Macaca fascicularis: one gene and its partners. The protein of the gene in region 4 interacts with the protein of the main gene of each other region in a biochemical or structural test. Links are inferred from orthologs where the notes say so. Each region holds a gene or a part of one and is shown on either strand. Other genes may lie near its edges.

The links. The genes of interacting proteins can lie anywhere in the genome.
Region 1: the proteins of ERBB3 (region 4) and NRG1 form a complex in vitro, tested with the Homo sapiens proteins (8 studies listed by BioGRID and IntAct, with this or other methods). The link is inferred for Macaca fascicularis from reciprocal best matches to the Homo sapiens genes ERBB3 and NRG1.
Region 2: the proteins of ERBB3 (region 4) and SH2B3 form a complex in vitro, tested with the Homo sapiens proteins (2 studies listed by BioGRID and IntAct, with this or other methods). The link is inferred for Macaca fascicularis from reciprocal best matches to the Homo sapiens genes ERBB3 and SH2B3.
Region 3: the proteins of ERBB3 (region 4) and NCK2 form a complex in vitro, tested with the Homo sapiens proteins (2 studies listed by BioGRID and IntAct, with this or other methods). The link is inferred for Macaca fascicularis from reciprocal best matches to the Homo sapiens genes ERBB3 and NCK2.

Annotation. Positions count from the first base shown.
Region 1 is NC_088382.1:36,007,267-36,010,291, reverse strand, and holds the end of NRG1 (pro-neuregulin-1, membrane-bound isoform), read right to left. Parts: intron 1,764-3,025; coding exon of another isoform or gene 1,643-1,763; exon of another isoform or gene 1,622-1,642; intron 1,234-1,621; coding exon 579-1,233; 3' UTR 512-578; downstream 1-511. UniProt on the Homo sapiens protein: Direct ligand for ERBB3 and ERBB4 tyrosine kinase receptors. Concomitantly recruits ERBB1 and ERBB2 coreceptors, resulting in ligand-stimulated tyrosine phosphorylation and activation of the ERBB receptors.
Region 2 is NC_088385.1:118,305,319-118,308,902, reverse strand, and holds part of SH2B3 (SH2B adapter protein 3), read right to left. Parts: intron 741-3,584; 5' UTR 714-740; coding exon 1-713. UniProt on the Homo sapiens protein: Links T-cell receptor activation signal to phospholipase C-gamma-1, GRB2 and phosphatidylinositol 3-kinase.
Region 3 is NC_088387.1:10,312,398-10,315,981, reverse strand, and holds part of NCK2 (cytoplasmic protein NCK2), read right to left. Parts: coding exon 3,231-3,584; intron 1-3,230. UniProt on the Homo sapiens protein: Adapter protein which associates with tyrosine-phosphorylated growth factor receptors or their cellular substrates. Maintains low levels of EIF2S1 phosphorylation by promoting its dephosphorylation by PP1.
Region 4 is NC_088385.1:62,865,186-62,869,274, reverse strand, and holds the start of ERBB3 (receptor tyrosine-protein kinase erbB-3), read right to left. Parts: upstream 2,832-4,089; 5' UTR 2,731-2,831; coding exon 2,643-2,730; intron 2,224-2,642; exon of another isoform or gene 2,163-2,223; intron 1,962-2,162; exon of another isoform or gene 1,801-1,961; coding exon of another isoform or gene 1,719-1,800; intron 1-1,718. UniProt on the Homo sapiens protein: Tyrosine-protein kinase that plays an essential role as cell surface receptor for neuregulins.

The DNA.
Region 1 (3,025 bases), on a different chromosome or scaffold from region 4:
TTCTTGCTGTATTTAATAGTAGCATGCTGTTGGATCTACTATTATCTCAGAGCCCAATGAGGCAAACCTTTGGCTGGCAGAGTAGACACAACTCATTTCATATTCTGAAAGCAAAGAAAACTTCATACACAAGTGAGGCGTATCTGGATGGATGTGCCCAAGACATACTGATCGGGTGCTACTACAAGCAAACAGAGGGACAGTTGCAAGTCTTGCAAATCATACATCCAGTCAACATCATAATGCAATGCACAAGAAGCCAGCAAAAACTGAATCTATGAGAGGTTTTGCTGAAATACTGTGGAAAAGCAATCACTGTAACTGTACAAAACTTGCTCTCGACATAACATAACATAAAGGCACCATTGATATCTTTCTCGTTTTGAAATACTGTAAAAAATTGCTACATATGGCACATAACACATTTTTTACATACATATATTTAATTTATAAAAGTTTTTTTTTCCTGTTTTCTATTTGCAGAACTGCTAAAATAAAATAAATTGTTTAATTTAAGGTGGAATACTTTATTATATAAAATAAAGTTTTACAGGTGAATCTATGTGTTTATTTAGGTTTTATACAGCAATAGGGTCTTGGTTAGCAATTACACTAGACAGCCTGGCCTGGATTTCTTCCTGTGTCGAGAAGCGGCCTGCTGGGTTAGTCCTGCTGTCAGCCAGGCGGAAGGCAGGTGTTGCCTCAAGACTGGCTGCCAGGGGGTTCTGTATGCCCAGGAAAGGTGTATCTTCACCTACTCTTTCATCTTCTGTTTCGCTCTCTGAGTTACTGCTCTGGGAGCTTGTGTTGCCGTCCACTTCCAATCTGTTAGCAATGTGGCCATTGGGCTTGGTTCTTTTGGCCCGCCGGCTATTGGCGAGTTTCTTAACAGGCTCTTGGGCTGGCTCGTACTCCTGGGTCGTTTCATACTCCTCATCCTCCACTATCCTCAAGGGGCTAGGGGGGAGGCTGTTACTGTCATGCGCGGGGTTGTGATGGAAGGAGCTGAACTGCTGAGGGTGATGGTCAAACTTCTTCTCCCGCAGCCTTGGTGGTGTCACGAGAAGTAGAGGTCTCTCTTCTTCCACGAAGGGGCTGACCGCCATGGAAGGCATGGACACCGTCATGCTGGACACGGGTGGAGACATTTCCGAAGGGGGTGATTTGGGGGAGCTTGGCGTGTGGAAATCTACAGGTGACATACGAGCCGGGGTGGTCATGGCTGACACATACCTGTGTGAGCACAGAATACCCTGCATAAGTGTGGTGCAATAAGAGGCACATAGCAGGGAAGGTAAGGGGACAGAGTTCACAATAGTATATCATCAGAGAACAGAGAATTTCTATTCATTGTAGACTGCTCAATTATTTACGCTAGGACATTCCACACCCTTGGAATCGAAAATTAGGTAGCCAAGAGTTTCCTCACAGGAGTGCATGCAAAGATCAGCTAAATTGCCTAGCTCATCAAAGCTTTTGGGATTTTCAATCTCATCACAATTATAAATAAAGGCATATGAGCCAAGATAAGAAGGCATTAGGTCCTGGAAACCTCTCAGCTTATATAAGGACCAAGGCTCAGGGATTCGGAAGGGAAAGAAGTATTACTTAAATACTATACCTTCCTAAAGGCCAAGGGGTCTTAGAGAATGAAGCCCAAATGGGGAATGGAAGAAGATCTAAGATGAGTTGCTGATAGCTGGATCTGCATGCATTTGGATCTGTGTGCCTTGTTTCTCCTTAGCTCAGCTATAAGGTTATGTCTTATGAAAAAAAAAGAGCATAGTAACTTAGATTTATTCCTGACAACAGTGTCATACATTTGTGTGCTTTTCATATTTTCCATGAAATGCAACTAGTTAACATTCAATTTGGAACTATCCATCCCAGTGTCCAACAAACACAGTCAAAGGTAAGCCTGAGAGAGCCTAATGTTGGCTTCACAGTTACCACAATGAGGTTATGTCCAATCTTTGGTCTATCTCTCTTCCAAAACCCACAACTATATCAGTCTTTGGTTAATCTCTTTCATGATGCCTCAAGGGTTGGCTGTACCATGTTACCTTCTATCATGTTATGTCTGATAATGCTCAGTGACTCTTGCCATCAGGCCACCAAGCACACTGTTTTCACCATACCATGCTTTCTTCCCCCAATATAAGAAGTCCTGACTTTTGGCACTGAGGAAGACGTGGCTTATTCAGAGTCACATTTCTCAGCTTTTGATAAAAAATGCTACCAGCACACAAGACTAAATGACTCTTTTCTTCACACTGGCATTCACAGAGTCTAATTTGACATGACCTGAGATGACACGGAGTGCCATCATCTGAACTCTCGCTAACAGGAACAGAAAACCCATGAACCTCGCTGCTTCTCCATGATTTGCAGTGATACAGATATGAGAACTAACTGCCTCTAAACCGGGAACGTGCCTGAGAAATTGAAATACGTGGGCCTTGAGTCTTCAGACTTTTGGCTTTGGGGGTACTTAAATTAAGCTCTCTGAGAAATGCTAATTCAAATTCAACCAACATATAAAAGTGATTCATCTTTTCTCTCCATAATCTCTAGGTTAAAGGAATATTTTGTAGTCCTAGGTATTATCTGGAAGCCAAGCACAGCAGGGAGATGTCAACATTTAAAGATAAATATCACTTGTAGTGATGAGGAATGATTTCATCTCTAACTTCCTTTTCATGTTTCAAAAATAGACTGAAATAGAATGGATAGACTTCCTTAATACATAAAAAAAATTATATGAATTTAAGACTAAAGTTTTAAAACAGTTTAAACCCTGCCTTTCATAGATTAGTTGCAGGGAAACCTCTGATTTCATAAATTCCATAACGTTCTAAAATATCATTTTTGGGGAAAGGCCCTTGAAGAAGTAACCAATAGGCCTGCAAGCCCAAAATTTTTGTTTGTTTGTTTTTGTTGTTGTTTTATTTTTCTTGCTTTGTTGCCTAGGCTGAAGTACAGTAGCGCCATCTCAGCTCACTGCAGCCTCCGCCTCCTGGGTTCA
Region 2 (3,584 bases), about 55 Mb from region 4:
CGGTCGGGGCCATCTGGGCCATCGGAGCCCGGCGCCCGGCGCAGCGCCAGCCTACCACGCTGCCAGCGCGCCCCGCTGTCCATGGAGGCCTCGTCGGCCAGGCTGTAGCGCAGCGCCGCCTCCTTCAGCGCCTCGGGTGGCGGCTCCCGAGCCAGGCTCCAGGGCAGGAGCTTCTTGGCCAGGCCGGGCCGGGCGGGGGTCTCAGCAGCCTCTCCGGGGGTCCCGACGGCGGCAGCGGTGTGGGCCGCTGGCAGCTCCCCGGCCGAGCGGCGGCGGAAGATGTGGCGGAGGCTGCGGCGAAAGTGCTGGAAGGAGCAGGGCCCGGGCGGCCGCGGCGGGGCCAGTTCCTCAGAGCTGCGGGCCTTGGGCAGGCCAGGGGCGGCGAGGCCGGGGCCTGGCTCCGGGGACGCCTCAGCCTTGGCAGGGGGCCCACGGCCTGTGTCCCGGTAGTCGCGGCCCGGCGCGCGGCCGTCGCGCACCTCCCGGCAGAAGTAGCGCTGGAAGAGGTCGGTGAACTGCAGCGACACCAGCTCCGCACGCAGCGGCGCGTGCTGCGGATGCTCGCGAGCGAACAGCCAGTACTGGCGGGCCAGCTCCCGGGCCGCCGCCACGGCGTGCAACTCACAGAACTCGCTCCAGCCCCGCGGGGCCGGCGCCGGGGAGGCCGAGGGCGGGGAGGAGGCCGAGGAGGGCTGCAGGGCAGGCCCGTTCATGGTGGAGACCCAGGTGGTGCGGCGGGGCTGAAAGACATGTGGGTGGGGGGGCGACAAGGAGTGAGCAGGTGGGCAAGCAGGTGACGGCCCGTCACACACCGCGAACCACAGCAGAAATCCGACACGACCATAACACCCAGTGCTGGTGAAGATGCAGGGAAACACACACTCTCCTACCAAGTGGCATTCTGTAAGGGGCATGGCCAACTTGGCAGAATTGATTCTAGACTCTGGAATCCTGCTTTTGAAGGACAAAAACCGTATTATCATTTCAATAGATGCAGGGAGAGTATGTGACAAAATTCAACATAACTTTATTATAAAAACTTTCAACAAATTAAGCATAGATGATATGTTGTACTTAACACACTGACCCTATATAAAGGCTGAGCTCGGAGGCTCACGCCTGTAATCCCACCACTTTGGGAGGCTGAGGCAGGAGATCGCTTGAGCCCAGTTTGAGACCAGCCTGGGCAACATGGCAAAAGCCCATCTCTCCAAAAAGACAAACACAAAAATGAGTTGGCATTGTAGCACTCGCACCTGTAGTCCTAACTACTTGGGAGCCTGAGGAAGTCAGGGCTGCAGTAAGCCATGATCAGCCATTGAACTCCAGCCCAGGCAACAGAATGATACCCTGTCTCAAAAAACAAATAAATAAATAAAATAAAGACCCTACATGATAAGCACACAGCTAACACTGCACTTAATGGTGAAAAGTTGACAACTTTTCCTTTAAGGCCAGGGATGAGAAAAGGATGCCCACTCTGGTCACTTCTATTTAACACAGTACTGACAGTCCTAGCCAGAGCAATTAGGCTCTAGGAATCCCACTTTTAAGTATTCAAGAGAAATACTTGCTCCCTGCTACATATTTCCTGCTGCAACATTTATAATGGGGAAAAACTCTAAGAGACAACCTAAATGCCCCCAGTTGGAGACTGATGAAAGAATCTGGCCCATCTATAGGCTGGAAGACTCTGCAGCAGGGGGAAAGGGTGAGGAAGACCCACCCCCCCCACCTCTGGGAGAGCTCCAGGGCAGGGCTATTCACTAAGTGAAAAAGCAAACAGCAGAACAAGACACGCTAGCCGATCCCATTTACATGAACATACATAAAACCAAACTACTAATGTTTATGTGTACACAAACATTTTGTAAATGGTGGGCAAGAAAGGTCTGGCAGAAACAAACCCATCCTGAAACAGTGAGTATTTCTGGGGAGGAATCAGAACTGGGGTGTGGGGATGGTAGGGATGGCGGGGAAGAAACCAAGAAGCTTGCTACTACTTATCTCTAGCAAGGATGGCTAAGAACACAGATTCTGGAATGTGGATTCAAATCCCAGCACCAGCCAGACGCGGTGGCTCATGCCTGTAATCTCAGCACTTTGGGAGGCCCAGGTGGGTGGATTACTTGAGTTCAGGAGGTAGAGACCAGCCCGGCCAACATGGTGAAACCCCATCTCTACTGAAAATAAAAAAAATTAGCTGGCTGTGGTGGCGCATACCTGTAGTCCCGCTACTCAGGAGGCTGGGGCAGGAGAAATGCTTGAATCCAGGAGGTGGAGGTTGCAGTGAGCTGAGATGGTGCCACTGCACTCCAGCCTGGGTTACAGAGCAAGACCTTGTCTCGAAAAAAAAAAAAAAGCCCAGCAACCACTACTTATTGGTTATGGGACCTTAAGTGACTTATGTGACTACTACTCTGCCTCAGTTTCCCCATCTGTAAGAGGGGAACCATGATCATGCCTACTTCATAGGCATATTATGAGCATGAATTGATAGACATAAAGCCCTAGAACATAGAAAATGCTTAAGAAAGACTGTCTGCTATTATTGTTATTTCCATGTTGCAATGAGAGTATATTATTGGTGTCTATAAAATAAATATAAAACGGGCCAGGCGCAGCAGCTCATACCTGTAATCCCAGCACTCTGGGAGGCTGAAGTGGGCAGATCACCTGAGGTCAGGAGTTCGAAACCAGCCTGGCCAACATGGTGAAACCTTGTCTCTACTAAACATACAAAAATTAGCTGGGTGTGGTGGTGCGTGCCTGTAATCCCAGCTACTTGGGAGGCTGAGGCAGGAGAATCACTTGAACCTGGTAGGCAGAGGTTGCAGTGAGCTGAGATCATGCCACTGCATTCCAGCCTGGATGACAGAGCAAGCCTCTGTCCTGGGGAAAAAAAAAAAATCACACACCAAAAACAAAAACAAAAATAAATATAAAACAAAAAATAAAAGGGAATAAATTAACAAAAGTCACAAGGGGTCCAGAGGGATTTCCTGCACTGACAGGGGACCCTCAGGACTGGCAGACCTTTGCCTGCCCATCTCAACTGGGGCATCCTTCTCCTCCCGTGGCCAGAGGGCCTTTCCTTAGACACAACATCACCAGAATGGCACTGAGATCCCCCACTCCTCTGCTGTCTGCGGTACAGAACAGCTGGGACCTCTGTGGGCACCATCCTTCCTTCTTCATGACCCTGGTTGGGCCTGGGCCCCTGCTGGCGACCACATGTCCACGTCTGTTCTTCAAGATGGAGAAGAAAAGCTCTCCCTACTCGGGCACAAAACGGGGCCCCAGATCCCTGATATTAGCACACCCTGAATGAACAGCGGTGCCACTCCAATGACTCTCTCCCTGGGCAGGGGTAGTGGCTGCACAATAGCCAGAGCCACAGGGGCCTGGGTACAATTACCGCCTCCAACCATGCCCTCCTTCATCCTCCCTTCAGGTGTTACTGAGGGCCTACTGTGTGCCAGACACCAAGCTAGGCCCCGGGATACCATGGTGAACAGCACATACGAACACTGCTCTCCCAGGGCTCACATTACAAAGGGGGCCACGTATTGGCTGTGTGGCTC
Region 3 (3,584 bases), on a different chromosome or scaffold from region 4:
TGACCTCTTCGGTATCTAAAATCTTACAGAGGAAAATGGCTTCCCAGACTTGTGGCTGATGCTGTCCAGCAAGTCACCCAGGCCAGCTGTGCACCTTTTCCAACCATATCCTAGTTGTGATCTGTCACTTTCTGAACAACTTTTACAAGGATGGGGGATGCAGCAATTAATAAAATACTGACAACTTGTACAGTTTACCAGAAACCCAGTAAAGGGTTACTGTTCATTTTAAGTACAGCTTTCTAGCCACATCCATAGCATCAATGTGGACAAAATATAAAAGGATTTATGAGGGACACACACCGGGTGAGTAGGATTTCTGAGTTTTCTGGATTTAAGCAGGTATAGCTCACAGCTGAAGGTATGATAATGAAATATGGAGAATAAGCACCAACAATATATCACCTTTAGCTGCTAAGGATAAACGACAATTGTAGATGAGAGAGGAGAGCGAGGGAGGAAGAAGAAAGGGAAGAACAAGCAGTAGGCACTGACGTTCAGGACAGGAAAGAGGGCCCAACAGGTTCGTTCATTTGTTAGTTCACTGATTCATCTAACATATCCAACAGATACTTCTGAAATACCCAGCACTTACTGATAGTGGATAGTGCAGGATGTGGCAATGTTTGTCCTCCCTGAAATAAGCACCTCTCAATGTCATCAAGCAAGGGTCTAGCTCATTTACACTGCAGTCACTCAGGGTATTTTAAAAACTGAAACGCATGTTGAAGATCCATTCCAGAAGAAACAGCTGTGCTTATCCAGAAGCCAGGCTTCATGTGGTAACCTCAACGAAAGGTCCAGGCCCAAAGATTCCAAGAAAAAAGGAAATTAAATGAAGATGCCTGCCTCTGAGTCCTGCAGGGAGGCTGAACCCCTCAGAAACCTTTCCGTCCCGGCATGCTGTGAAGGAATTATGTCAGACCGTGAACCTAAGGGCTCTTGGTGGCCTGGTGGTGGCTGTGAAAGCCAGCTCTAACCTGAGAAATGGCAAAATGAGCAGGGAAACACATGGGGATGGGGGGAGGCAGCGGATGGTGGGGAAAAAAAACAAGCAAAGGACTTGTCCACTTGTCCACCAGGACAGGTCCCCGGCAGTCACAGATGACAGCTGAGAACAGCCTTGGTCATGAACAGGAAACGCAGCAAACCTGGCCCGGTTCTGCGGTCAGGAGAAAAGAAGCCACACACCTCAGGGCTCTTGTAGAATCCCCGTGGCACAAGGCATGCACACTAACCGCTGAAAATGGCCTGTGTCACGGCAAGATCCATCAGGACAAGCTGCCCTGCACAGCATCAGGCCACGTGGAGCCTCAGACCAAGACGGTGCTGCTATGTGTGCAGAGCCGATGCAAGTGCCAGTAAAGCCCTTTCCACCCTATATTCCTGGAATCATACATGTTGCTCCTTGACTTTCTAAGTTAGGAGAGAATGCAAAACATCTTGAAAGGCCCCCAATTAAAAAATTGTTAAAAGGAAATACAAACAATTAGTGCTTTAGTACTTTTGAAAAAGTGAGCTCATTCTCTAACAATGCAAGGCAACTGAGACAGTGGGGTGTAGAGTTCTGAGATGAAACCCAGCCAATGCATGCATCCCTCCTTATCCAAAGGGATCCGGTCCCTGAATTCAGACAACAATGACCACCTGTGCATGTTCCACAGAAAAGCCATAGGTCCTCCCTAAGGCCAGCAACCCTGGAGAACACCTTTTTCATCTACTCTCTAAAGTCTTTCTTCATCTCCCCAAATCTTAGGCAGAAAGAAGAACGACTGGGAGCAATGTCTCCACACTGCAGGCCTTCCTTCTGAGAAGTCTCTTCAAACTCAAACATTTTAAGCCAAGATCATATTTTGTGCATTATACTTAGCCCTTAAGGACTCTGGACCAAGCACTTAATATTGTAATTGGTTTTCCAGCAGTTTCTCTAAGTTTCTGCTCGATTGAGTTAAAAGCGCTGCTGTCCTTAATTTGCTTAAGGCTTCAAACCCGATCTAAAGGAAATGGTGCACAGAGCTCTCGTCATGTGAGAACAATTCAATGTGATGTCTTGCCAGGAATGATAAACTCTGGTGACTTGATAAGAAAATCTCAGAGTTCAGATTTCAGATGAAGTTAGCTTTCAGGCTGGCATTCCCGTCCAAGCACATCTAAGGCTCCGCAAAACTGATGACACCACAAAGGAGTCCAGTTTCCACCACCACGATGCTCCTTCCTCAAAGAGGAGAAGATCCCACTTGCCTCTCTCTGGAGGGCTTTGAATGCCTCTCTGATCAGTCAACAGGACTCCTGAATGTGCACTTATTTATTGTGCCAGTAACCTTTTCAGAGGACAGCAGGGGCAGCAGGTAGTACATACTTACTAGTCTTACAGTGTGCATTTAAAAATGAAATTGAAGCCTACTAGAACCAATACAATTCAAATACATCAAACTCCTAAATGCTTGTTTTGGAAGTCTCTCGATTGTAGAAGGTGTATTTGTAAAGACGTTTGCAAAACTGGTCGAATATTTCCTTCACACACGAAAAGGCTGCCTTCTGGGATGCAGGCTCCACCCCCACGTCTGAAACTCACTGCCCCCAGCCTGCCCACCCCTGGAAGTGGGTCTGCTGCCCCAGTCCAGTGGCTTCATATCTCCCACTCACTGCACACACACAAAACTCATCTCTCTCAAGAACCCTTGTTTTCTTTACAATTCATCTCGTAAGTGCTTTAAAAGCTTTTCAGAGATGAACTCAGTGGCGCTGCCTGCCGTGGCAATGACCTTGGGATTATACGGTTTACAAAGAGAAAGCAAGCAAACAACAAAAGGCGGTGTCAGAAACCCGCCACCAGTCTTGCAAAGATTGCTTTCTCTGGGAAACAGACCGAGTGGAAACAAAGTAAATCACTGGGGCCTTCTACGTACACACAATGGGCAACCAGGAGAGAAAATGACGTTTGAGTCTGTAAAATACAAGAGGGGCAATCTTCGGAGAGAAGCAGAACCACCTTTGTCAGCTACAAACATTTTTTCAGTTAACCTCCCATCTCCAGAAATGGACACCCACGATCCCCAAAACAGATGCAAGGAAATCACGGAGTAGCAAACATTACACTAAATTGCATTCATCTGCATCTCTCGCCTTTCTAGTGTACTCACACAATGTGAAATGGGCGCGGCACACAGAGCCACTGTGCAAGGCGCATTTACTGCCTCCAGCCAGAGCTGCGGGCGCAGCGCACTTACCGAGGACTCGCTGTCCCTAATGAGGAAGTCGCCCTCCACGCCCCGCTCGTTGAGGGCACACTCGGCCTGGTGCCGCGTCACGTTCCCGTAGTACCACTCTCTGCCCGCGAAGCGCCCGCTGGACGAGGGCCCGGTGTAGCTTATCTGTGGGGCGTGTGCAGGGTGCAGGGCAGGCCCGTCACTGAGGACCACCACGTAGTTTTTGGGGACGAGGCCCACCTGGCCCCGGGCATTTTTGCATTTCCACCACTCGGGGTCGTTCTCGGGCTTCTCGATCACCTCCATGGTCTCCCCCTTCTCGAAGTTGAGCTCCTCCTCGGTGACTGAGCTGAAGGGGTACAGCGTCTGGACCAC
Region 4 (4,089 bases):
TGTGCAGACTTTGTGTCTGTGCTTGGAAGGCTACAGTGTTAGAGGTAGCCCAGTTCCCTGCTCCCCTGAGGGTAAAGTCCATATTACACAAACAGGGGGCAAAGGGCCTGGGCAGGAAGGGAGCACAAACAACACGTCTGGGGAGGAGCTAGGCAGCTTGGGGAGCAGGGCAGGGGAAGGGAATCATAAAAATCCCTCCTGTACCCAGGGACCGGGAGCATAAGGAGGGGCAGTGGCACAGGCACTCCTTTGGTAGAGAGCACTAGGGGTGGGATAGAGCCAGAATCTCCAGCCCCTCCTCAACCAGAAGCCTCCCCTCCAACATCCCCCACCCCCATCACAGCCAGGACAAAGGGGCTATAGAAGGACTGAGACAGGGCCGGATGCCCAGAGGCTGCAGGACCCAGATAAAGGGTAAAGAGACCCAACCATGCCTGCCTCCTGCCTACCCAGGGAGGGTGGCCAGACTCTGGTACTCCTGGGTTTCTGGGTGAAGATTGCGGGAGTCTGGATGGGACAGTTATACAGTCACCCCACTGCTCCCTCCCACGCCAGTCCCCAGACCACCCCCCTCCACCAGCTGGGAGTGTTCACATCTAAAAATCCCAGGATCTAAATTTAGGCCCAGCAACTGTGGGGGAAGCACAGGTGGTTTCTTCCACTCCCACACTGGGGAAGGGGCCCTGGCTGTGCCAAATCCCAAGCTGAAATCTGGGGGGAGGGGAGGAGATCCACAGAACTTCAAACCTCAGGTGTCCACGGCCCCAGAGACACCCCAAAGGGGTGGGCTCAGATAGCATGGGAGTCGGGGGAGGACTGGAGAAGAGCAATCCAGGGCTCTGTCTAGGGTCCTCAGACAATAAGCAAAATGGGGGCAGGGGGCACAAGATGGGCCCAGGTAGGACTCCCCAAGGCAGGAGGCTTAGAAAGTAGTAGAGGTGCCCTCTTGATCCTCCGGTTGGGGAGAGAAAAGACAAGAGGCTGGACAATCCTTGCCCCTACAGTTCCTGGCCTAGCGCCTTGTATATAGTAGATGCTCAATAAATATGAGTTGGGTTGACCTGGATCTTGACAAAGAGATGTTGCTCAAGCTCTGCTATTCTGAGGAAAGCGGACGCCAGCCTCTGTTGGGCCTCCCGCCTGATGTCACCTGAACTTGGCCCTCTGGTTAATCTCAGACCTCCCCAGGGCAGGCTCACTCACGGAAGAGGAGGTGCCGCTCCTGTTTTTCCAACACTAGAGAACAACAACCCCCTCCAACCTTCCGTAGCTCCGCCCTGTCGGCAAAACAACGAAACTAGGAGTAGCAGAAATCGGTGCGGGGTGGCGGGCAGGAAGCTGGCGAGCAAACCGAGACCCTTCCGCCAAGGCCCCCACCTCCAAGCACCTCCTGTTTATAGAATTAAGGTCCCTGCCCCGCTCCCTGCAGGGTCCCTCAGAAGTGTGAACTACTGTTGCGGCCTCAGCCTCTTTTGGGGAGACCAATTAGAGGGTCGACGACGCTCTGGGGAAGGGGGCGTGAGGGTCCAAGAATGCCGCCCTCGGCCGGACCACGCCGATAACCCGAGCCTGATCGCCCCACTCCCAGGTGGTCCGGCGTACGGGGGCAGCACCCACACCCCCGCGCCGCCTGAGACCCTGCCCATGCCCTCAGAGGCTTCGCGCACTGGGTTCCGGCTCCCAGGTGCCGAGCCCGCCAGTGCTCTCGCGCCACTTACCTGCCTGAGAGTTGCCCACCTCGGAGCCCCGGGCCAGGTTGAAAAGCAAGCCCAGCACCTGCAGAGCGCCGTTCGCCCTCATGACTCCGCGGAGGGTGAAGGGAGCCCAGCCGAGTCCGGCCCGGGGGCCCCTAGACTAGGACATCCAGGCAAGAGCCACCTGAACCGCAGGCGAATTGGTGGCTGCTGCGGCGCAGCGGAGGTTGCAAACTGCAATCGGAGCCGGAGCCGGAGCCGGAGTCCGGGGCAGGATGGCAGGGGAGGGGTGTGTGTGTGTGTGAGAGAGAGGGAGGGAGGAACGCAGAGGGAAGGGGGTGAGTCACGGCCGCGCCCCCTCCCGCGCGAGGCTGGAGTAGGGATTGCGGAGCCTCGGACTGCCCGCCCCGAGCGCGCCACGCCCCGCGGTCCCGCAACTTGGCGGAGCAGATCGAAGATGGGGCTCACCCTAATTTTTCTGCAGGAGCTGGGCCAAGGGGAGGTCAAGATTCCAAAAGCCCCCAGATCCAGGGAAGGGTAATGAATGAGGGAGTGGTAAGCGCTCCAAAGCCCAGCCTCCTGAAATTTGGCCTCGCCCATTAACCAAATCACTCAACTCCCCTAGCCGGTTGGTTCACTTGGTGGATTTTCTCTCAGAATGTGAATATTTCTCTCTGTGTGTTTTTGAGGGGGAGGGTGTTTTTTGCCTCACGTCCAGGCCACCTCAGTTTCTCCCAGACTCGAAACCCCATAACTCATCCACCCAGCCCAGGAACCCGAGCCAAAGAGGCCGCGTGAAATTGCACTGTCTCCGGCCGCTTCCTCCTCCAGACCCGGCGCCGGCCGGGCCTCTCCCGGGATTTGGATGGGGGGCGGGGGTGGTTTCCAGCCTGCGAACAGACCCCGGAGCCCGCCTTTCCACTTCTACCCCGGGAGGGGCTCCCGCACCTGTCGCCGTCCCCTCTGCTGCCCCCCACGGCCGCCTGGGAGAACAGCTGCCTCCCCTTCCACTCTGGAGTCTGGCCGCACCGTCCATGCGGCCGCAGTTCCCGCCGCTCTTCTGGGGACCCAGATGGGCACACACCAAGGCGCTCACACCCTCCCCGGTGCCTTCCAAGTCCAGGCTCGCGCAGGAAAGGGGTGGGGCGGTGAAGCGGGATGCGGAGAGGACACTAGAGACTGCGTCCACCAATGGCGTGGACCTCTGGAACCTCCAGCACCAGCTGCCCGGACTGGCCCAAAGCCCTGCTAGTCCCGGGACGGATCCGACCGGCGCCGCCTGGTGCCCAGCCTGTGGCAGTGGAGTCCCAGACGGCCTTGCATTTCAAATCCCTTAAACTGGTATTGGGGATCTCGCCCAGAGTGCCTAGTTATTTTCCCCAGAACTTCAAGCCTGAAGACTTCGAAAACAGTTGAGTCTTGATAAACAAAAATTTCACCCCTCAGGCCTAGCAAAGACTACCGGCTAACATTCCTTAAACAGGCTCTGTATTGATATGCAACCTAGAGGGCCTGTTCTCTGTTGGAGAACCTTTGCTTTGGGGAGGTTGGCTTTCTCCAGACCACGTGTATAGCAGTCATAATAATAATGGCAACAACAAAACCATTAACATATACAGTATCTCCATATATCATTTCATTTACAAAGTATGTCCTCAAACTTAGCGCCTTAGAGAATGTGTCACTTAACATAAAAATTATATGATTTAGGCAATATAACTCTCCATTTTACAGAACTTGAAATGTGTGACATTACCAAGGTCATCCACCTGGTGACAGTGGTTGAGGTGATCAGGTGACTGAGAAGTGGGGCTCAGACTTTTACCTAGAATTTCTTTCTCTTTTTTTCTCCCTTTTTTTTTTTTTTTTTTTTTTTTTTGAGACGGAGTTTTGTTCTTGTTGCCCAGGCTGGAGTGCAATGGCTTGATCTCGGCTCACTGCAACCTCTGCCTCTTGGGTTCAAGCGATTCTCCTGCCTCAGCCTCCCAAGTAGCTGAGATTACAGGTGCCTGCCACAACACCCGATTAATTTTTGTATTTTTAGTAGAGATGAGGTTTCACTGTGTTGACCAGGCTGGTCTGGAACTCCTGACCTCAGGAGATCCACCCACCTTGGCCTCCCAAAGTGCTGGGATTACAGGTGTAAGCCACCACACCTGGCCTTACCGCCTGGCCTTACCTAGGATTTCTTTATTATTTTTGTATGATGTAGAGATGGGGGCGGGTGGGTCTGGCTATGTTGCCCAAGCTGGTCTTGAACTCCTGGCCTCTGGCCTCTGCAATCCTTCCACCTCAGTTTACCCAAATTGTTGGGGTTTCAGGTGTGAAGCACCCTGCCTGGCCTTCCCTAGGATTTCTTACTGTTCTACTGAGACTGGAGCTTCATGTGTTCGGA